4 linked regions of the Oryctolagus cuniculus genome follow. The protein of the gene in region 1 purifies or fractionates together with the protein of each later gene. This does not show direct contact. Links are inferred from orthologs where the notes say so. Each region holds a gene or a part of one and is shown in the gene's direction. Other genes may lie near its edges.

Region 1 (4,013 bases):
CAGCCGGCGGGGGAGATGCCAGCGCGGCCCGGGCCCCGAGCCCTGGGAACTCCGCGTGGGCGGGAGTCCGCGAGCGTGGCCCGGAGGCCACCTCCGAGCAGGGCCGGGGGAGGCCAGGAAGTGGCCGCCACCCTCGCGCGCGCCCGCCCTCCGCGCCCCGCCGGGGGAAGCTGGCACCAGTGAAATCCGCCCTTGGGGGGGTGCTGGGGCGCATCTCCTTGGCACCGAGCGGCCTGCGCTGGGAGCCGGGGGCTGCCTGGCCTCCGCTCCGCGCGGCTGGAGCTCAAGAACAGGGCTGGTTTGAGGGTTCGAGGGCCGGGGCTTCCGGGAGGGGAGGTCTCCTAACTTCCAGCTGGGACCTTCCAGAGGGGTGGGTGCTGGCACCTGTGCAGGCCAGAGAGGCCGGGGGGTGGGGGGAGAAGTGGCAGCCGCGGCGGGGAGGGGGAGGGCTGGGGGGTAGGGGGACAGGGCCGCGCCCCCTCCACGTTCCTGCGCCCGCACCTAAAAGTCAATCAGTTTAAAAGAAGAAGGAAGCGGGTGTCGGGGTGTGGGGGGGTGGCCGGTGTGCACCCCCCACGCCGTCTCCGCGCCTTTTCCCCCACTGGCTTCGAACCGGCGTGTGGCGTGACCTGTTGCTGCGAGCGGGCATACAAAGGTTCCGCGGCGGCCGGCGGCCCAGCGCGGGGAGCCGCGTCCCCCGCCCGCCGCGCGCGCGCGCGCCGCGCCCGCCCCCGCGCCCGCCCGCTCCCCCGCGCGGCCGCCGGCGCCGCAGGCCCCGCCCCCTTTCATGCAAAAGCCGGCGGCGAGGCCGGGCCCGAGTGGAGGAGCCGCCGCGCGCTGATTGGTCGCGAGAAACCCATTTATTCCCTGACAGCCCCCGTCACATGGACGGTTGTCTATTAACTTGTTCAAAAAAGTATCAGGAGTTGTCAAGGCAGAGAAGAGAGTGTTTGCAAAAGGGGGAAAGTAGTTTGCTGCCTCTTTAAGACCGGGACCGAGAGAAAGAAGAGGAGAGCGAAAAGAAAAGGCAGAGAAGTTTGAGCCCCAGACTTAAGCCTTTCCAAAAAATAATAATAATAATAATAACAATCGGCGGCGGCGGCGGCGGCATCGGCCGGAGGCGGAGGGAAGCGCTGCTTTTTTGATCCCGATTCCAGTTCGCCTCCCTCTCTCCCTCTCTCCCTCTCCCTCTCTCCCTCTCTCTCCCTTCTCTTCCCCCGAATTGCTCTCCGTCCGGTCTCCGCGCTCGCGGCACCCCCGCCCGCCTCCCCTCCTCCTCTCGCCCCCGCCCGCGGGCCCCCGAGTCCCAGCCGCGCCGAGGGTCGGCGGCCGCCGGCGGGCCGGGCCCGCGCACAGCGCCCGCATGTACAACATGATGGAGACCGAGCTGAAGCCGCCGGGCCCGCAGCAGACTTCGGGGGGCGGCGGCGGCGGCGGCGGCGGCGGTGGCGGTGGCGGCGGCGGCAACGGCGCGGCGGCGGCGGCGGGCGGCAACCAGAAGAACAGCCCGGACCGCGTCAAGCGGCCCATGAACGCCTTCATGGTGTGGTCCCGCGGGCAGCGGCGCAAGATGGCCCAGGAGAACCCCAAGATGCACAACTCGGAGATCAGCAAGCGTCTGGGCGCCGAGTGGAAACTTTTGTCGGAGACGGAGAAGCGGCCGTTCATCGACGAGGCCAAGCGGCTGCGAGCGCTGCACATGAAGGAGCACCCGGATTATAAATACCGGCCCCGGCGGAAAACCAAGACGCTCATGAAGAAGGATAAGTACACGCTGCCCGGCGGGCTGCTGGCCCCCGGCGGCAACAGCATGGCGAGCGGGGTCGGGGTGGGCGCCGGCCTGGGCGCGGGCGTGAACCAGCGCATGGACAGCTACGCGCACATGAACGGCTGGAGCAACGGCAGCTACAGCATGATGCAGGACCAGCTGGGCTACCCGCAGCACCCGGGCCTCAACGCGCACGGCGCCGCGCAGATGCAGCCCATGCACCGCTACGACGTGAGCGCGCTGCAGTACAACTCCATGAGCAGCTCGCAGACCTACATGAACGGCTCTCCCACCTACAGCATGTCCTACTCGCAGCAGGGCACCCCCGGCATGGCGCTCGGCTCCATGGGCTCGGTGGTCAAGTCCGAGGCCAGCTCCAGCCCCCCCGTGGTTACCTCTTCCTCCCACTCCAGGGCGCCCTGCCAGGCCGGGGACCTCCGGGACATGATCAGCATGTACCTCCCCGGCGCCGAAGTGCCCGAGCCCGCCGCCCCCAGCAGACTCCACATGTCCCAGCACTACCAGAGCGGCCCGGTGCCTGGCACGGCCATTAACGGCACACTGCCCCTCTCGCACATGTGAGGGGGGCCGGACGGCGGACTGCAGGAGGGGGGAAGTGGGTGTCGCAGAGACAAGGGAAATGGGGAGAGGTGCACAAGGAGAGTGAGAACAGCATGGCGAAAAATACCCGGTACGCTAAAAAAGAAAAGAAGAAGGACAGAAAGGAAAAAAGAAAAGAAAAGAAAAATCTTTTATCACCCACAGCAAATGACAGCTGCAGGGGAGAGACCACCAATCCCATCCACACTCACGCCAAATCCGCGATGCCGACGAGAAAACTTTTATGAGAGATCCTGGACTTCTTTTTGGGGGACTATTTTTGTACAGAGAAAACCGTGGGAGGGGGGAGGAGGGGTGGGGAGGGCGGGGGAAGGGACCTTGTATAGATCTGGAGGAAAAGAAAGCTACAAAAAAACTTTTTAAAAGTTCTAGTGGTACGGTAGGAGCTTTGCAGGAAGTTTGCAAAAGTCTTTACCAATAATATTTAGAGCTAGTCTCCAAGCGACGAAAAAAAAAGTTTTAATATTTGCAAGCAACTTTTGTACAGTATTTATCGAGATAAACATGGCAATCAAAATGTCCATTGTTTATAAGCTGAGAATTTGCCAATAATTTTCAAGGAGCGGCTTCTTGCTGAATTTTGTTTCTGCAGCTGAGATTAGGACAGTTGCAAACGTGGAAAGAAGAAAATTAATAAGATTTGGACATTTTAATTGTTTAAAAATTGTACAAAAGGAAAAAAATTAGAATAAGTACTGGCAAAACTATCTCCGTGGTCTTGTTTCAAAAAGGGGGGGGGGCAAGAGTTTTACATTGTACTAAATTTTTTTTTAACTTACTGTTAAAAGCAAAAATGGCCATGCAGGTCGACATCGTGGGTAATTTATAATAGCTTTTGTTCAATCCCAACTTTCCATTTTGTTCAGATAAAAAAATGACATGATATTACTGTGTTTGAAATATTTTCTTATGGTTTGTAATATTTCTGTAAATTTATTGTGATATTTTAAGGTTTCCCTCCCTCTCCCCTCCCCCCGTTTATTTTCCGTAGTTGTATTTTAAAAGATTCGGCTCTGTATTATTTGAATCAGTCTGCCGAAAATCCATGTATATATTTGAACTAATACCATCCTTATAACAGGTACATTTTCAACTTAAGTTTTTACTCCATTATGCACAGTTTGAGATAAATAAATTTTTGAAATATGGACACTGAAATTATGCTTGAGTCTTTCATTTACTTGGATAACACTGGTGGATACATTAACTTGGGGAAATTATTTACAATACTGTGCTCAACCTTGAAAGTAAAATAAATACCTAAAAACCTTGGTATGGCTGACTAGTCCAGCAGCGCGCTAATGTTAACTGGGAAAAGAACTGGCTGGATGAGCAGTAAGTACTCTGAATCTGAACTGCTTGTGTCATTTCCGAAGTAGGAACTAGAGGCATATAGCGTCAAACCCACTCGCTCCCTTGCTAGCAGCTTGCAGAAGCACTGTGGGGACTCAGACTTTAACCTGATTTATGCCACTTGTTGCCAGAAAGGAGTTGATTCTAGAATTTTTCCTGTAGCTTAGCAGATGGGGTATTGAGCCAAATCAGAACCAGGTCGGCTGGTTTTGTTTTCATTTTCTTCACAGCACAATGGCCCTTTGAGACCTGGGTATAGGGGGGAAGTGAT
Region 2 (5,726 bases), on another chromosome or scaffold:
GCAACTGTGGTATAGTGGAAAGAGCGATGGAATTAAGAGTCAGAAGACATGGCTTTAAGTCTCAGCAGCACTTAGGTAAAGTGTGTGAGACCCAGGGCTATCTATACAGCGGAGATCATAGTATTTACCTTATAGTAGGACTTAAGTATTAAAAGACATAGGTGTATCAAGTCGCGCACAGTGAGCACTTGACAAATAGAAGCTTCCATTTGCTGTAACTACAATGTGCCTGACATTCATTACCTTACTTAGACCTCACCCTGACCTTGTATAGATCTGTTACTGTGGGACATTTATCAAAGGAGAAAAAAGTAGCTATGATAGCTTAAATAATCTAACCAGGACCACATCTTTAAGCAGCAGAAAAGAAGACTCAAATCCAGGTCTTTCTGGCTGGAAAACTATCAATGCCCATTGGTCTTGCTTCCCCAGGATTTGCACGGACTTCATTACTAATAAGTGGTGGCCTTGAAATCTCGTTTCAGTCTAAACTAATCTGGGCCAACCTTGCAGCTGGTGACCTACAAAAGTGTCCTATTATCCGTCTCAGGGGTACCTAGTTTATCCTGATTTATAAATACATCTTCATGTATTTTTGATCAAAAGACCTTAAGCAAAAAGTGCAGGTGCAAGGCATTAATACAGGAAAAGCGACATTCACCCTTCCACAAGAACTTTTTACACAACCCCTGCGGTTGCCAACATCCACTCGCACCGGAGAAGAGGCTTTATGTTCCTGGGCTTCCCTCTGAAAGAGGTTACTTGATTTTCTGAAGTCGTAGAAACCTTTGAGAAGAAAGCCACGAACTTGGTTTCCTGGAAAACCCCATAGATGCATTTGAGAATCTGCCACCAAGAGTTGCAGAACTCCAGGGTACAATAAGGTATACAAGAGTATCATCTCCCATTTACAAGGAATACAAAGAATCATGAATCACGTAACTCAGGCAACCAGTGGAAATTTCCACATCGTGCACGGGTGATGGCGGTGGGGGAAGGGGGGAGACCAGGCCGATCAAGGGAGTCGCTGCAAGTGGGCTCCGCGATCTACTCTCTATCCCCTTGGGAGAGGCCCTTAGCTAACGACCTTACCTCTCCACCGAAAGGCTGGGTCTCCCTCGCCCCTCGACTCAGTCCGCACTTCCACTTTAAATACAGCCGCGGGAGCGGGAGGAGCAATGACAACAGAAACCCCCTAAGGTCGCTGACACAGTGAGGGCTGGCCCCGGGGGACACCAGGAGCAGCACCCCCGCCTCTGCCTCCTTCCCCCTCCTCCTCGGGGACACCCGCTTCCCCTCACGCCCCGCCCCGGCGGGCTCGCCGCCTTCCCTAACACGTGCTCGCCGGAACACTCGCTTCCCCGAGCCATCCCACCCCCCCGCCCGGGGCTGGGCTCGGGGGCCGAACGGACCAATCGGCACGCGCCTTACAGCGCCGTGGCCCCACGACGTTGAGTCGCCCAATCGAAAGGGCCTTAGCGCCCGTTTCCCGGAGCCCCGCCCCTCGCAGCCGTGCCCCCGCCCGCCGGTCTCCTCCCTCCGCCTCCCCCCCCCACGGCCACCCCTCCCCCGCCGCTCGGGAGCGGAGCCTGCGAGACGGAGAAACTGGGGCAGAAGTGAAGATGGCGGCGGCGGCGGCGACGGCTTCTCGCCTGTGACGCGCGGTGCGGGCTTCTGTCCCTCCCCACCTCCCCTAATCCGGACCCCGTCCGCCGCCCGGTACCACAGCGTCCCCGCAGCCTGCCCCTCTCCGCCCGCCCCAGCCGCCCCTTCCCCCGACGCCCGGCTGCCGCTGGCGGCGGCGCGCCCCGGGGTCCCGGCCGCCGGCCTCGCACTCCCTGGCGCTGTCGCCGGGGGAGCGGGTGGCGCCTCGGTCCGCCCCGCCGGGCTGCCGGGCCGCGGACACACGCCCGGCAGGGAGGCGGCGGCGGCGGCGGCGGCCCCTGCGCCTCGGCTTCCCTCCATTTGGGGACTGGGAGGCGGCAGCGGCGGCGGCGGCTGTGGGTTTTGGGGAGGGGAAGGGGGTCCGGGGGGGGCGGGCGAGAGCAGGAGGGGGCCGTCCTCGGGAAGAGGACGAGAAGGAAGCGCCATGACGTCCATCCATTTCGTGGTTCACCCGCTGCCGGGCACCGAGGACCAGCTCAATGACAGGTAATAGGGACGGCGGGCCACGGGCGGGGGAGGGGCGCCTCCTCCCGCGCCCCTCCCCCACGGGCCGAGCCGGCGGCGCCCCTGTTTACGCGCCGGCCTCCTGGGGGTGTGTGTGTGTGTGTGTGTCGGGGGGGTCCTCGCTGCCCCCTCCCCTCCGCCAGGACCCTTCCGCCGTCAACTTCTCGACCCGGGGGGCTGGGGGCGCGCGCGGCGTGGACGGCGGAGCGCGCCGCAAGCCCCCTCCCCCTCCCCGCGAGGAGCGCGTGGAGCTCGGCGGGGCCGGGGGGCGCCGGTTCCTCACCCCCACTCCTCCGGGGCCGGGGGGCTGGGCTGGAATTGCCGCTGGGGCCCGGGCCCCGAGGAATCCATATTAGTCAAAGTTGAATTGAGACAGACAATGCGGATGGGGGATGGTGGAGGTGAAAAGAGAGGGAAGAGGAGACGCGGGGCCGGGGGCCCCCGGGTAGGCCGGCCGGGGCGGTGCGGACCCCGGGGAGCCGCGGGTTCCCGGCGGATCGCGGGCGGCGACGGGCGGAAGCGCCATGATTATTGTTATTATTATTAAATCTGAGCCCCTGCAGCGAGGTTCGCCCGCCCCGGGAGGGGCTGCGTGGGGGCGGGGGTGGGAAGTGGCTTGGATTCCCGTGCCTTTGAAATGGTGCTGGCAGCTCCGGCCCCCAGCCCCCGGGGTGCGCGCTTTGTTGTTTGCTTTTCCCCGAGTTGTAATCTGACAGCTGAAAACCGTGCGTGGCGGGTCGCAGGGAAACTCTGAGGTTCGCAGTTCGCAGCGCTGGGAATTTCTGGGCTGGGTTTGCTCCGGGCGGAGGAGGAGTGATTTTCTGTCTTTCATAAAGAGGCTGTTTGGGTTTAGACTCCTCTCCTGCGTCCTCCGGCGCTGCTGGCCGGTTTAGGATATTGAATTGCAGGGCCACACGCGCCGCGCGAGCCGAGATGAAGCAGGAAAAGTTCCCTCGCTGTGGCAGGAAGACGCTCCGGGGAGGCCGAGGGAGGCTTCCATTAAAGCGTGCCTTAGAGTCCGGGGTTCAGGCCTCGCGAGGGCCCAGAAGTGTGCAGGATCTCCGGCTCCCTCGGTAGGCCGGCTGGCCCCGCGATAGAAGTTAGACTCCGTTTTTGCTAAGTGACCGGGTGACTTACGGTGCCTGTCGCCCGGCTTGTCATGTGCTTCCCGGAGGGAGGGAGAGGCCCAGCTCGCTGGTTGAGATGTTGCCCTCGGCCTCCGGGTGCCCAGTCACCCCAGGTGGGGCACGAAGCCTCTCAGTCTCCAGCGGTCCTATTAGTTTGTGGCACTGGACTCGGGCTCGTCCACTCTTCGCCGTAGCCATATTGTGTGTCGTGTGTTTGTGAAACTTTCTGAAAATTTAACCACTGGGAGTTTGCATGTACTTCCTTCTCAACACTGGAACAGCCTCTATCAATTATTTAACATTTTGCTGTGATTCTTCCATTACAGATCTTTTGCAGACTCGGGGACTTTCTGTACATTTTAGAACCAGGCCAGTAGTGAAGGGTAGCTCTGCCGTCATTCATAGACCCAGTTGTTCCAGCTTGTCCCGTAACCTGCCTTCTAACATAGAAAATTGCACCGAGAGCAGGAGAGAAGTAGGGCATGTTTTCTGCGTTAGTCCTAACTTTGTTTACCAAGAGTCCTAACTTACTCAATTGACTGCGCAAATCAGAATCTATTTTGCAGTGTATGGGGCCCTTTGATTTGTTTTTGCACATTTCTTTGGCATCACATATTAACAATTAATGAATTAACAAGTAATGAATCCTTTTGAAGCTACTTTTCTTCTAGTATAAAGAAATAAGAAATAGTTAGCTTTACTTTTTATTCTTACAGAATCAGAATACAATATTAAGAATGAACATCTTGAGTTTTTTTTTTTTTTTTTCCAGTGAGCTAAAGGAGAAGACAAGTGGATTTGAGTTAGACTGTAACGCGTACAACAAGGTGGTAGATCCCTGAACAGATAGGTACTTTTGGGGATGTAGAGTTGTATCTGGTAGCTGCCAGTGGCCTGCATTGAGGACAGTTACGCACCCCGACTTTCAGCGAGAGAGCTGTTCTGTGCCTCCCCTTCAAAAGGAAAGGTCCTCTTGGCATTTCTGGTTTAAAATAATAAGCCACACATAGTGCATGAGATTTGTTTTTAGACCAGAGGCAGCAGTCCAGAATATGTTCATCTTCAGAAAAAAAATTTGCCATGTTTTAGTGAGTTTTGATACTAGAAAAGAATGTGCGACTCTAATTTTATTAATTTATTTGAAAACATTTATTTATTTGAAAAGCCGAGTTGCAGAAAGAACAACAGACAGGGAGATCTCCATCCGCCGGTTCACTCCCCAAATGACCCCAACAGCCGGGGCGGGGCCAGGCTGAAGCCAGGAGCTTCTTCTGGGTGCCCACGAGGATGCAGGGGCCCAACCACTTGAAGCATGTGCTGCTGCTTTCCCAGGGGCATGAACAGGGAGCTGGGTAGGAAGTTGGGCAGCTGGGGCTCACATGGGGCCTGTTGTGCCACAGTGCCGGCCATATTCCGTCATTTTAATATGAGAAATGTGAGCGTCACAAACGAAATGATAAATGATAGTTTCGAGTGAAAAGTTCTTTGCGCTAAAAGCAGTAAAAGCAAGCAATGTGGTACTGCAGATAAATTGTTCAGGAAAGATTTTAGGGCCTTAATCATCAATATCTTCTTCCCTAAATGAGTTTTCTTCCAATACCCAACCCCATTTTCTTCACTTTAATAGTAGTCCTGTATGTTAAAATGTGTGTTTTTTTTTTTTAATATTTATTTATGTGAAAGAGTTGCAGGGGGAGAGAGCTTTCATCGGTTGATTCATTCCCCAGATGATCTCAACAGCAAGGGCTGAGCCAGGCAGAAGCCAGGAGCCACAAGCTTCATCTAGGTCTCCCAGGCGGGTAGCAGGGGCCGAAAGGCTTGGCCATCCTCTGATGCTTTTTCTAGGCCATTAGCAGGGAACTGGTTCAGAAGTGGAGCAGCCAGTGCTCTGTGTGAGATGCTGGCATTGCAGATGGCTTTACCCGCTATGCCACAGTGCTGGCTCCTCAGACTTTGTAAATATGTGAAACATAACAACGCGCATCATATTTTTGTTTTTTAATTTGTGTCTTCAGACTAGTTAATGGTAATGAGGATGCATGAATGAAGTTGATGAATGCACCAGGGGATGGCTGTGGCAGCCAGAAGAGGAGAGGTCAGAGAGCCCAGGGTGTGGCCCTCAGTCATTCACTGAGTTGAATTGAAACTGTTCAGCCACTGGGAGACTTGCCTGATATTTTGATTCCTTTGCAGTGAATTTCTTGAGTTAGGTACTTTGTTCTTTCCTAAATCATTGTCTCAGGGAAACAGCGAAACATTCCAAGAACTGGGTTCTGCTTGTGGAGACGGAGGGGCGGGAGAGTGGAAAGTGCCTGAGAAGTCCTGTAGGCCAGGCTTTGTACTAGGGAGTCAAAGACACAGGCCCAGAGATTTCTGGAATTCATCCCAGAGTACATGATGAGCTCCTGACAGACAGCTGAGGGCCACATG
Region 3 (5,693 bases), on another chromosome or scaffold:
GCTTCCCCTATCATTAACATCTTACATACTTGTCACATTTTTTAAAAATTCTGGTTAATGCTTTCTTGTTCTCAATTGTTTATTGGCTATTTTTCAGACTAAATTTGAGGTCTTGATGATATAGTCTCCAGAGAAATTTCTCCTAGAGAATTGTTCTTTCTCTATCAGAAATCTGAATTTGCTGAAAGCTTGTCTCTAGAATGATAACTTTATACTTTTTGATTAACCAAGCCATATTTTTCTCTTAAGGCCTCCAGCAAAAGGGCTGGCCCTTTATATATGCTCTTGCTCCAAACTCCTATGGTGACTCTCTACTTCACCTGCTAAGCATTTAGCATGTGCTCCTTGATATTATTACCTTTATTCCTAATTCTTCAATTATTCCATTGGTTTCTTAAATGCAGAAACAATGTTTTTATAAACTTTTTCTTTCTAGCAATCCAGGCTTAACGCATAGTGAGCATTTAATAAATCTTCACCATCAATTTACTTATGCATTCCCTCATCAAATAATTACTGAATGCCCCATATGGTACTTGCTTTCATAGGCTAATAATTTAGCTGGAAATACAGATGTTAAATAAAAATGAGATGATCAATAGGGTTATTCATGGTAACACAGAAATGTTTAATGCAGACCTATCACAGGTCAGGCACGAGCACAATATAAGCTGAAAGCTGACACGGCTGATGGAGGTCGCATGTAAAGCACTAAAATGCAACGTTACAAGGGCAAACGGAATATCCTGGTTGCACAAAGGAGGGTGCAAAGATCTCTGCCACTTCACGCTTCCACTGGGTCTTGAAGGAGAACTTTAAACAACAATTCGGATGATGCAAGACTTTCTTGCAAGAGCTGTTTTCAGAAACCTGGAAAGCTCGTTCCTACATCATCTGAGCAAAACCCTGAGCTCAGCCCACGAAGCTGGGACTAGGATGGCAGGTGCCTGGCGATGGCTACTGCCCAGGGCAAAGTCCCGGTCGGCGCTGCTGGGGCTCTCTAAGCCTTTCCTCGGCCCTGCCCGCCAGCATGGCCAGTTATTCCCAGAGAAAGCCCCTCGGTGCCAACAGACTTTGTCAGCACCAGGACAGAGCAAATCTGGCATCTTCCAGAATGTTAGGGATTCTCAAGGGCGGCAAGTAAGAGAGTCCGCCGTTTCCAATACTCAAAAAAAAAAAAAAAAAAAGCCTACTCCAAAGTGCACATTTCTAACGGGGCCACGGGCCAGGTTTCCTCGTTTCGTGCTACAACTGCAACAGGCCAATGTTAAGCCGGGATTCTGACACAGCTGTCTTCTGGTTAAGCACCACGCGGTTTCCCATTGTTGCCGTGTTAAATTTAGTAAACTCTTCAAAATACGGGAGCGAAACCGGGAACGCCTGCCATGACGTTTGCCATTCACCAGCTGTCACCGGCGACGCTGGGGAAAAGCGATTCACCTCAGCAGAGCCAGCCCGGCGACCTCTACAGCTGCTCCACGCTTCTCGGCTCCTTCCGTGCGCCCCCAGACACCTGCGCCCTCGCCACCGAGCCACACCGCCCGCCTCTGAGGAGACAGCCACCACTCCCACCGCGCCTTCCGGAAGGCGGTGCGCCCGCCCGCACGCACGCACGCATGCGCGATGCGGCCTCCGCGCGGCCGCGCCGGGGTCGGGCACCCGGGGTGCCCCGCGAGCGTCGGCGCCTCCGGCGGGCGCGCGTGCGCAGTCGCTTTCCCGAGCGCTTCTCCCCGCCCCTCCGGCCGTCCGTCAAGCCGCCGCGCCACCCCTCACCATTCATCCCACTCCTCTCCATCCCACCAATCCAAGAAGGCCCTCGCCTACGTCAAGAACGAACGCCGCTTTCGACCGGGGAGTCTCCGGCCGAGGACGCTCCCGGAGTTGTAGCGCGCGCCGCGCCCGCCCCTTCCGCCGCGCACGCGCACGCGCACGGCCGGCCACGACGCGCCGGGGTTGGCGGCGGCCGCGAGGGCGGCAGTGGCTTCGACGCCGCTCGACGAGTTTCCTCCGCCCCCTCCCGTCGCGCGCTGGTGTGTGGTTGCCTTTAAAAAAAAAAAAAAAGAAAAGAAAAAGCCAACTTTATTGTTCCTCGCCCCACCTCCCGGCGCGGCGCGCGCCCTCAGGATGCACTGAGGCGGGGCGGGGAGGCGGCGGAGGGTCGCGCTCCCTCGGCCCCCAGCGCCGGCCGCAGGGGCGGCAGTCAGGATGTCCAGCAGCCGCCAGGCCGGCTCCGGCTCCGCGGGGACGAGCCCCGGCTCCTCGGCGGCCTCCTCGGTGACTTCCGCCTCCTCGTCCTTAGCCTCTTCCCCGTCGCCCCCTGCCGCGGCGGCGGCGGCGGCGGCGGCGCTGGGGTCCGGCGGGGCCGCGCAGGCCGCGGGCTCGGGCGGCCTCGGGGGTCCGGCGCGGCCTGTGCTGGTGGCGGCCGCCGTGTCGGGCGGCGGCGGCGGCGGCGGGGCGGTGTCGGCGGGCCTGTCCCGGCTCAGCTGCGCGGCCAGGCCCAGCGCCGGCGTAGGAGGCAGCAGCTCCAGCCTCGGCAGCGGCAGCAGGAAGCGACCCCTGCTCGCCCCTCTCTGCAACGGGCTCCTCAACTCCTACGAGGACAAAAGCAACGACTTCGTCTGGTGGGTTTGAAGAGCACCCCGCTTCCCGCTGGCGAATTCGGGAGTTCTGTGCCTGGGGCCGGCGGGCTGCAGTGCGGGAGAGCGCGGGATGCTGGTGCAGAAGTGGCGCCTGCAGCGGGATCCGATGCTTTGCAGACACGTTCCGGCTCGGGGGTGCTGGGGTGGGCAGTGCGGGCGTCCCGAGGCAGGGTCGGCCGCAGCAAGAGAAAGAGGCGCTGGGGAGTAGTGCACGGGGGCGCCGGGAGGCGTGCAAGGTCAGGTCAGTGGTCGTTGCTACCAGGAGAAATTTGGGCGAGGAGGTGGGGTCTGGAACGTTTTGGCTGTTTGGTGACCCGACAGTACCCGTGGTGGTGAATTCAATTTGCCAAGGGAGAGGATCTTTCCTGCTGGGATGCTGAGGGATGGAGTTGGTCAGAATGTCCTCAGAGGAAGTGTGCTGGATGATGCCCTGAACATGGGTGTGGGTGTTTTAGGAAGAGGGGTTTAGTGCAAGCACCCATCGTGTGTGAATATAGATATCTCTCCTTTTCCATCTCAATGGTTAAGGCGATTAGTTTTAAATCTGCTCTTGAGGCTACAGCAGCCAGTCTGTGCACAAAAAAATTCCACTTGTCAGGTGGGTTTCTTGAAAGAACGAAGCACGTTGATGAAATATTATCCGTGGGTCAGGTGTAATTGTTTTACACTGTATAACTGAGTACACGGAAACTTGAGTGATTTGAAATGCTCCGTGTAGACATTTTGTCATCATGGTTGCATCTTGAATGATACACAGTAACATGTGGTTGTATTTGACTCAAAGGCGATTTGGTTACTTTCAGTGAAGGGTGAAGTTCATTGTCTTGCTGAGTCCGTTTTGGGGTTTTCATTAGGCTGTGCTTACTGTTGGTAGGATTATGAGACAGCAGCAGTTTTTAGCTGATTAAGAACCGACAGGGATTTGTGCCCTTCCTGCAGGAAGGCTCGTTGATAGAACTTTCAGTGAGTGTAGGAAGTTGGCTTGCACATTCATGGGGGAAGTTGAAGATAATCGGAATTGTCAGTAAGCATGATAGGGCTAGAAATGGAAATGATCGGGAACATTCATTGATTAGATGTGCAGACAGATTCTTGTTCCTGCAGAAGGATTACATCCTTATTCATAATTCTGCTTTTATTCTGGATTCAAAGTTAGTTCATTTTTAAATTGACACTGGGCTATACTTGGGATTGTTGTTCATAAATAAGTTGAACAGTCTGTGGCTGGGTCTAAGAGTTGCTTGCCTTCCCTCCCAGTCCCAATAGAGCCACACCATGAGGTAAAAGATAATAAAATAGTGGGAGTCTGCAGAATTTAGTTGTCTTTGTAAACACTATTTGCTTTTCAGTTTTCAATAGACTAAAAGAAAACAAACATGTCAGCATCTGTGTAGATCACTGAAATAGTATGGAAGAGGTGAGAAATAAGGGAAGCAATCATTCAGTCACTCAACAGATAGTTGTTTTTTAACTTTTATTTAGCAAATATAAATTTCCAAAGTACAGCTTATGGATTACAATGGCTTCCCCCCACCCCCCATAATTTCCCTCCCACCCGCAACCCTCCCATCTCCCACTCCCTCTCCCATTCCATTCACATCAAGATTCATTTTCAATTAACAGATAGTTATTTGACATTTGCTTTTTGCCAAACACCCTATGAGTTTCTGTGTACTGTAAAATACGTTGTAGGAGTAGATGGCACTGATATTTAATTAGTTTAAAATTTTATTAAAATTTTTATTTATCACTTAAATTTTTTTAAAGATTTATTTATTTGAAGGTCAGAGTTACACAGAGAAGAGAGGAGAGGCAGAGAGAGAGAGAAGAGAGAGGTCTTCCATCTAATGATTCACTCCCCAGTTGGCCACAACGGCCGGAGCTGCGCTGATCCGAAGCCAGGAGCTTCTTCCAGATCTCCCACACGGGTGCAGGGGCCCAAGGACTTGGGCCATATTCTACTGCCTTCCCAGGCCACAGCAGAGAACTGGATCAGAAGTGGAGCTGCCAGGTCTCAAACCGGCACCCATATGGGATGCCAGCGGCGCTTCAGGCCAGGGCATTATCCTGCTGTGCCACAGCGCCAACCCCAACTTTTAAAAATTTCAATCTAGTTTTGAGTCCTAACCATGTTGCCTAGACTATTGATTTCTAGTGTGGAAACATCCAATGAAAATATTTAGGTAAAAACTCTGAATATTTCACTTTCTGTCTAGGAATCTCTTTTGTCTGTTGCTTCTTTATCTGGAAAATTTGAATATTCAGTGGAATTAACTAATGAGAGACCGTTTTCTGTTTCTTAAGCCAGATTTGCTCTTGGCCAAACTCTTGGGATAAGAGGATATGAATTAGGCAAGGCCCAAGGAATCCTTTTCATTTCTGATTGGCTCTGGTGGTTGGTTGGTCTGGTCTTGTATGCCTCAAGGTCAAACTGTTGACCAATTCAAATTACTCTGCACCTTTATATCCAAGTGAGGTCAAGTTCAAATAATAATGATGATTGCTTATTCGTCTATAGCACATTTTAAGCATAGGCTTATACTTAACATTTCATTTTATTCTTACAGCAGTTCTGTGAGCTTACAGAGAACTTGTCTTTTAAAAATACAATTGCTGGCCGGCGCCGCGGCTCACTAGGCTAATCCTCCGCCTTGTGGCGCCGGCACACCGGGTTCTAGTCCCGGTTGGGGCACCGGATTCTGTCCCGGTTGCCCCTCTTCCAGGCCGGCTCTCTGCTGTGGCCAGGGAGTGCAGTGGAGGATGGCCCAGGTGCTTGGGCCCTGCACCCCATGGGAGACCAGGAAAAAGCACCTGGCTCCTGGGTCCTGCCATCGGATCAGCGCGGTGCGCCGGCCGCAGCGCGCCGGCCGCGGCAGCCATTGGAGGGTGAACCAACGGCAAAGGAAGACCTTTCTCTCTGTCTCTCTCTCTCACTGTCCACTCTGCCTGTCCAAAAAAAAAAAAAAAATACAATTGCTTTTGAAGCACAGAGAAGATAAGTAGCTTTCTTTTAGATTGGGCAGCTCAGGAACAAAATGAAAACTTGCATCTCAA
Region 4 (5,669 bases), on another chromosome or scaffold:
CTGTGGCTTGCAAACCCGAGTGCTGTCAGCAGTCCAGCTAGCCTGAAGAGAGGGGGGAAAGGCTGCTGCTAGGGCTTGGTGGCCCTCGGGGGTAGGGTGACCCTGGACTTTTCCTGTGCACCGTGTTCTCTTCCGAGGAACCTGGCCTTATCCCCAGCTCCACCTGGGTCTCTTTAGAAGGCAGTGGCAAACTTACACTGGGGGACAGAAATCTGGGTGGCGTGGCTTGCTAAGCGACCTGATAGCTGTGCCTTTTCTCTCTGCTCTGCCCCGCTCTCTTGCAGGGGCTTGTTGGAGCTGGAGCTCCCATCCCGCCAGCCCCTGGAGCCTCTTCTGTGGGCTGTTCAGTCTTCTTAGGCACTCTTTGAAGACTGTTGGTCATGGTGGGCTGAGTTCCCTCAGGAAGTGAGCCTGGGGCTTGGGTTCTCCAGCTGGAAAAATGTCCTGTGTCCCCCACTCTGGGCGGGTGCTTGATGACAGAGCTGGGAGTTTGGATCTATTCTGATATTTTGACCCCATTGCTGCATTTGCTCACAATTTGACTTTTTTTTCTTTAAAGGCTAAGTAGACAGGAGGCAGCTTTGGAGACTCCACTTCTTTTTAAAGCTCCCCCACCCCCCACCCTCCGACGTTAAATGACCTGGGCAGTGTCCTCCCCTCTCGGTCTTTCAATTCTGTAAAATGGGGATAATCCCGACCTCGTGCCCCCGGGGACTTGTCAAGACCAGCTAATGAGGGCAGGGGAGTGGGAAAACGCAGAGTCTGAACAATGATCGCTCGGCCCTTGCAAAGGGGTTAGAAAGCAGGGCTCTCTCGGCTGAGTCTTTGGGGCCGGTTTGTAAAAAGGCTTTCAAGAAGAAAAGTGCTGTGGAGGTGCTAAGTAACAGCCAAGAGACCAGGCTCGCTGCCAGGGGGGTCAGGCCTGGGCCGAGGCGGCCGCGGTCTCGGGCTCTGGCCAATTTTGCAGGCGCGGGTAAAGTTCACGCTGCCCGCTCCCCACGGTGCGGCCGGGAGGGGACCGGCCGGGGATCGGCACGCCGGGAGGGAGGCGGCGCAGGCTCCGGAGGGGCGCGAGCTCCGGGCCGGGTTTTCCCCGAAGCCTTCGGCGGCGGTGCTGCCGAGCGAAAGCGGCCGAGGGCCTGCCGCCGCCGCGGCTCGCTCTCTTCCCCTCCTCCTTTGTGAGGGGAAGGGAGCGAGTCCATTCCGCGGCGGCACCCGCTCCGCGCTCCACTCCGGGTTTGCCAGGCGGCCGCGACGGCGCTGGGTAAAATGGCAGTGCTGAGCCTCGTGTCGGAGTGAGGGGGACTCGGAGGAGAGTGGGGCGCTCTAGCCGCTCAGTCCTGCCGCCCGCTTGCTCGCCCGCCCGCTGCCGCGCAGCAGCCGCGGCCGGAGCCGCGGCCGGGGAGGGGAGGCAGGGCGCCCGGCCCGGCCCGCGCGCGCCGACTCTGCCTCCCGGCGCCCCGGCTGCTGCCGCGCGCCCTCCAGCCCGCCCGTCCCGGGTCCCCCTCCCCCCGCTCCCTCCCTCCCTCCCCGCCCCCTCCCCCTCGCCTCCCTCCCTCCCTCCCTCCTCCTTTCTCCGGCAGCAGAAAGCGGAGAGTCACAGCGGGGCCAGGCCCTGGGGAGCGGAGCCTCCACCGCCCCCCTCATTCCCAGGCAAGGGCTTGGGGGGAATGAGCCGGGAGAGCCGGGTCCCGAGCCTGCAGAGCCGGGAGCAGCTGAGCCGCCGGCGCCTCGGCCGCCGCCGCCGCCGCCTCCTCCTCCTCCGCCGCCGCCAGCCCGGAGCCTGAGCCGGCGGGGCGGGGGGGAGAGGAGCGAGCGAGCGAGCGCAGCGCAGCAGCGGAGCCCCGCGAGGCCCGCCCGGGCGGGTGGGGAGGGCAGCCCGGGGGACTCGGCCCCGGGGCGGGGTGGGAGGGGGGGAGACGACGAAGACAGGGCCGGGTCTCTCCGCGGACGAGACAGCGGGGATCATGGCCGCGCAGGTCGCCCCCGCCGCCGCCAGCAGCCTGGGCAACCCGCCGCCGCCGCCGCCGCCGCCGCCCTCGGAGCTGAAGAAAGCCGAGCAGCAGCAGCAGCAGCGGGAGGAGGCGGGGGGCGAGGCGGCAGCGGCAGCAGCAGCAGCCGAGCGCGGGGAAATGAAGGCAGCCGCCGGGCAGGAAAGCGAGGGCCCCGCCGTGGGGCCGCCGCAGCCGCTGGGAAAGGAGCTGCAGGACGGGGCCGAGAGCAATGGGGGTGGCGGCGGCGGCGGAGCCGGCAGCGGCGGCGGGCCCGGCGCGGAGCCGGACCTGAAGAACTCGAACGGGAACGCGGGCCCTAGGCCCGCCCTGAACAATAACCTCACGGAGCCGCCCGGCGGCGGCGGCGGCGGCGGCGGCAGCAGCAGCGACGGGGTGGGGGCGCCTCCTCACTCAGCCGCGGCCGCCCTGCCGCCCCCAGCCTACGGCTTCGGGCAGCCCTACGGCCGGAGCCCGTCTGCCGTCGCCGCCGCGGCGGCCGCCGTCTTCCACCAACAACATGGCGGACAACAAAGCCCTGGCCTGGCAGCGCTGCAGAGCGGCGGTGGCGGCGGGGGCCTGGAGCCCTACGCGGGGCCCCAGCAGAACTCGCACGACCACGGCTTCCCCAACCACCAGTACAACTCCTACTACCCCAACCGCAGCGCCTACCCCCCGCCCCCCCAGGCCTACGCGCTGAGCTCCCCGAGAGGTGGCACTCCGGGCTCCGGCGCGGCGGCGGCCGCCGGCTCCAAGCCGCCTCCCTCCTCCAGCGCCTCCGCCTCCTCGTCGTCTTCGTCCTTCGCTCAGCAGCGCTTCGGGGCCATGGGGGGAGGCGGCCCCTCCGCGGCCGGCGGGGGAACCCCCCAGCCTACCGCCACCCCCACCCTCAACCAACTGCTCACGTCGCCCAGCTCGGCCCGGGGCTACCAGGGCTACCCCGGGGGCGACTACGGCGGCGGGCCCCAGGACGGGGGCGCCGGCAAGGGCCCGGCGGACATAGCCTCGCAGTGCTGGGGGGCTGCGGCGGCGGCAGCGGCGGCGGCGGCGGCCGCCTCGGGAGGGGCCCAACAAAGGAGCCACCACGCGCCCATGAGCCCCGGGAGCAGCGGCGGCGGGGGGCAGCCGCTCGCCCGGACCCCTCAGGTACACAGCTGAGCGGGGAGGGGGGCTGGGGCGAGCTGGGCCGGGCGGTGGGGGGGTGGGTGGCGGCTGCGGGGAGCAGGCCCCAGCCGTGGGCTCCGCTCGGTCCCGGGCCCCCACTGCTGGGGAGCTGCCATTGTCTGGCTCTTCTCTCTTAAAATGGCTGCCTGTCTGCCTTCTTCTCCTTCCCTCCTTCAGCCTTTGTGTGGGGCTTTTCCAGAGGTGTCTGCTGCCCGGCTCCCCCTCCCCTGGCCCCTGCGAACTCCGCGGGTCTTCAGGGGGGTGCGGGGCAGAGTGTGCGGGGAAGGGCCCGGCCTGGGGTGAGGGGGTGCCGGGGGCTCAGATCAGGGGTGTAAGCGGTGGTAGGAGCCCCGGAAGGCGAGCGAGCGTCCCCCTGCTCGCCTGCCGCTCCTCTCTGTGCCCCCTGCTTGTCTCTAGGCCGTCCCCCGTCTGTGCTCTCGAGGAGGGGCCCCTCGGGCCCGGGGGACCTCGCGGGAGGGTAGGGGCCTTCTTGGGGGCAGCTAGAGGCCGGCTGCGGTTCACCCCGGGCAGCCCGGCCATCGCCTGTCTTGGTCTCCGCCGGCCCAGTGGCCTGGGCTTCTCCCTGGAAGCGCTGGTAAACAGCTGAGTGATTGGAGTAGTAAGTGCAGATTGCTTTGGTTTGGGATTTGAATTATGGAGGTAAAATCCTTCTGTCAAAGCCAGGAGACAGTTGGTCTTAGGTTGACATCCTATCTGTGATCTGATTGGCTCCCCATCTCCTGCTCTTGGCCATTTATAATTGCCTCTGATGTAATGGTACAACAATCCTGATGAGCTCATAAACTTTTACACTCTGCTTTTCTGCCAGTGATAACCCAAACCATCGCTGCCACTATCAGCCTTTTTTATTCCAGAGCTGAAATTGGCTGTGACCTTGAGGAGGGAGGTTTAAGCCGCAATACTGTATCAGCAGGAGCAGAGCCCCAGACAGGCTGCCCTTGTTACATTGTGCCTGAAACAAAAGAGGAGGCCATGGCATTTTGCTTGTACCTTGGATTTATTTTGCTTGTTATATTTTATGCAGCCTGAAATAGATTCTGTGTTGTCCGAACAGTAGCTGAGTTTCTTCTCTACAATGGGTTTGCTGTTTGTTTTGGTTTTGTGACTTTCCTGATGGGATAAATGACTTCTTTGATGACTGTGAAGATGCATTTATCTTGAGTAATTCTGACACTGTTTGCAGAATTGAAATTATTTTGCTGTTTGGTTTTTTTTTAATTGAGTGGCAAATGTGGGACCTTTGTGGGGAGGGGGCATTTTTGGTTATCACTGTAATCCTTTTTAAAATGGGGAGCTTTCTTTGGGAATTTCATGTTAGATTCAAGTGTTCTGTTTTAAGCAAGGCTGGCCTCATTCTTTGTTTACATGTTGAATCTTGTTAACAGTTTTCTTTTGTTAATTAGACTTCGGGAGAGCAACTTAAAGAGAAACTGGTGTCTTTCATGATGTTGAGGGACTTTCTCCTGAAGGCTTGCTTTGGCGAAATTATTGTCTCTTCCTGGAATAACAAAAAGGCTAGTTTTTTGTTTTTGCCATCACTCATTTGGAGCTTTGAGATAGAGACTGGTCAGTTTTTTTTGCTTTGCATTTCAATGTATGTTCTGTTCCCACCCCCCCTTCTTCCAAGATACAGACATATGACCTATAGATTTGCCTAGACATTTCCAACGTGTAGGTACCGTTTTGTACACTCTATTTTGTTTTCATTTTGCTTTTCTTCCTGCTCAGCAGTGCCTTGGCCAGGAATATTGGGTAGTCGATGGAGTTGCGTATCTTTTTTCAAGGAGGGGAAAGCCCTCTTATGCACCCACTCCCATGTGTACTTTTGTGCTAAGAAATCAACATTTTGCTTAGTTGGCCTAATCAACTTTGTTCTTTCCTCATCCTAGAACTGCTTTTTACACTTGCACTGTGCTGGGAGTTTTGAAAATAGCTGTGTTAGATGGTGGGCTAAGAGCTCTGTGCCTTGACTCTGCATCTACCCTAATGTTCTACATCTGGGCAAGAAAAAGGGAACTGTTGTGTTCCTGGTGTTTGGAGGATAAGTTTTGTCTTAGAAGACAGAGCATCCTCATGTCTCTGGGTCGGTCTGTAATCTGTACCTCTTTTCCTTATTTAGTTGTTGGCTGAAAATTTTACCTTTCTGGAGAACTCTTAGAGGAAACTCTTTGGGATAAGTCAAGACTCACTTAAAAGCAAATTTGATTTTAATTCTGTAGCTTTGGGGGTACTTAGGGAAACTTTTTGTAAAAAATAAAACCAACTTTCGCCCTGTAGTGATTTTTCAGTCATTAAATAATCAAGCACTTTCTGTGTGTTGGGTACTGTGCTCTGTTCTGTGGCAGGCAAATGGTAGGAAAATAGGTAGAGTCTCTGTGCAGAAGCCTGTCTGTGCTGCCTGGGATGCGCTGCTGGAGTCTCTTGTTGGCGCACCAGTCGGAGCACTGCACACGACATAGGTTCCTGTTCAGTCGCCTGCCGCACTGAGGCTCA

Evidence for each region. The genes of interacting proteins can lie anywhere in the genome.
Region 2: the proteins of SOX2 (region 1) and UBR5 purify together in Homo sapiens (affinity purification with western blotting; 3 studies listed by BioGRID and IntAct, with this or other methods). This does not show direct contact. The link is inferred for Oryctolagus cuniculus from reciprocal best matches to the Homo sapiens genes SOX2 and UBR5.
Region 3: the proteins of SOX2 (region 1) and COP1 purify together in Homo sapiens (affinity purification with western blotting; 3 studies listed by BioGRID). This does not show direct contact. The link is inferred for Oryctolagus cuniculus from reciprocal best matches to the Homo sapiens genes SOX2 and COP1.
Region 4: the proteins of SOX2 (region 1) and ARID1A purify together in Homo sapiens (affinity purification with mass spectrometry; 3 studies listed by BioGRID and IntAct, with this or other methods). This does not show direct contact. The link is inferred for Oryctolagus cuniculus from reciprocal best matches to the Homo sapiens genes SOX2 and ARID1A.

What each region holds. Positions count from the first base shown.
Region 1 is NC_091435.1:97,880,474-97,884,486, reverse strand, and holds SOX2 (transcription factor SOX-2), read left to right. Parts: upstream 1-1,213; 5' UTR 1,214-1,363; coding exon 1,364-2,350; 3' UTR 2,351-3,547; downstream 3,548-4,013. UniProt on the Homo sapiens protein: Transcription factor that forms a trimeric complex with OCT4 on DNA and controls the expression of a number of genes involved in embryonic development such as YES1, FGF4, UTF1 and ZFP206. Binds to the proximal enhancer region of NANOG.
Region 2 is NC_091437.1:127,732,409-127,738,134, reverse strand, and holds the start of UBR5 (E3 ubiquitin-protein ligase UBR5), read left to right. Parts: upstream 1-1,962; 5' UTR 1,963-2,089; coding exon 2,090-2,151; intron 2,152-5,726. UniProt on the Homo sapiens protein: E3 ubiquitin-protein ligase involved in different protein quality control pathways in the cytoplasm and nucleus. Mainly acts as a ubiquitin chain elongator that extends pre-ubiquitinated substrates.
Region 3 is NC_091438.1:4,385,770-4,391,462, reverse strand, and holds the start of COP1 (E3 ubiquitin-protein ligase COP1), read left to right. Parts: upstream 1-1,929; 5' UTR 1,930-2,205; coding exon 2,206-2,621; intron 2,622-5,693. UniProt on the Homo sapiens protein: E3 ubiquitin-protein ligase that mediates ubiquitination and subsequent proteasomal degradation of target proteins.
Region 4 is NC_091438.1:144,805,982-144,811,650, reverse strand, and holds the start of ARID1A (AT-rich interactive domain-containing protein 1A), read left to right. Parts: upstream 1-1,905; 5' UTR 1,906-1,967; coding exon 1,968-3,137; intron 3,138-5,669. UniProt on the Homo sapiens protein: Involved in transcriptional activation and repression of select genes by chromatin remodeling (alteration of DNA-nucleosome topology).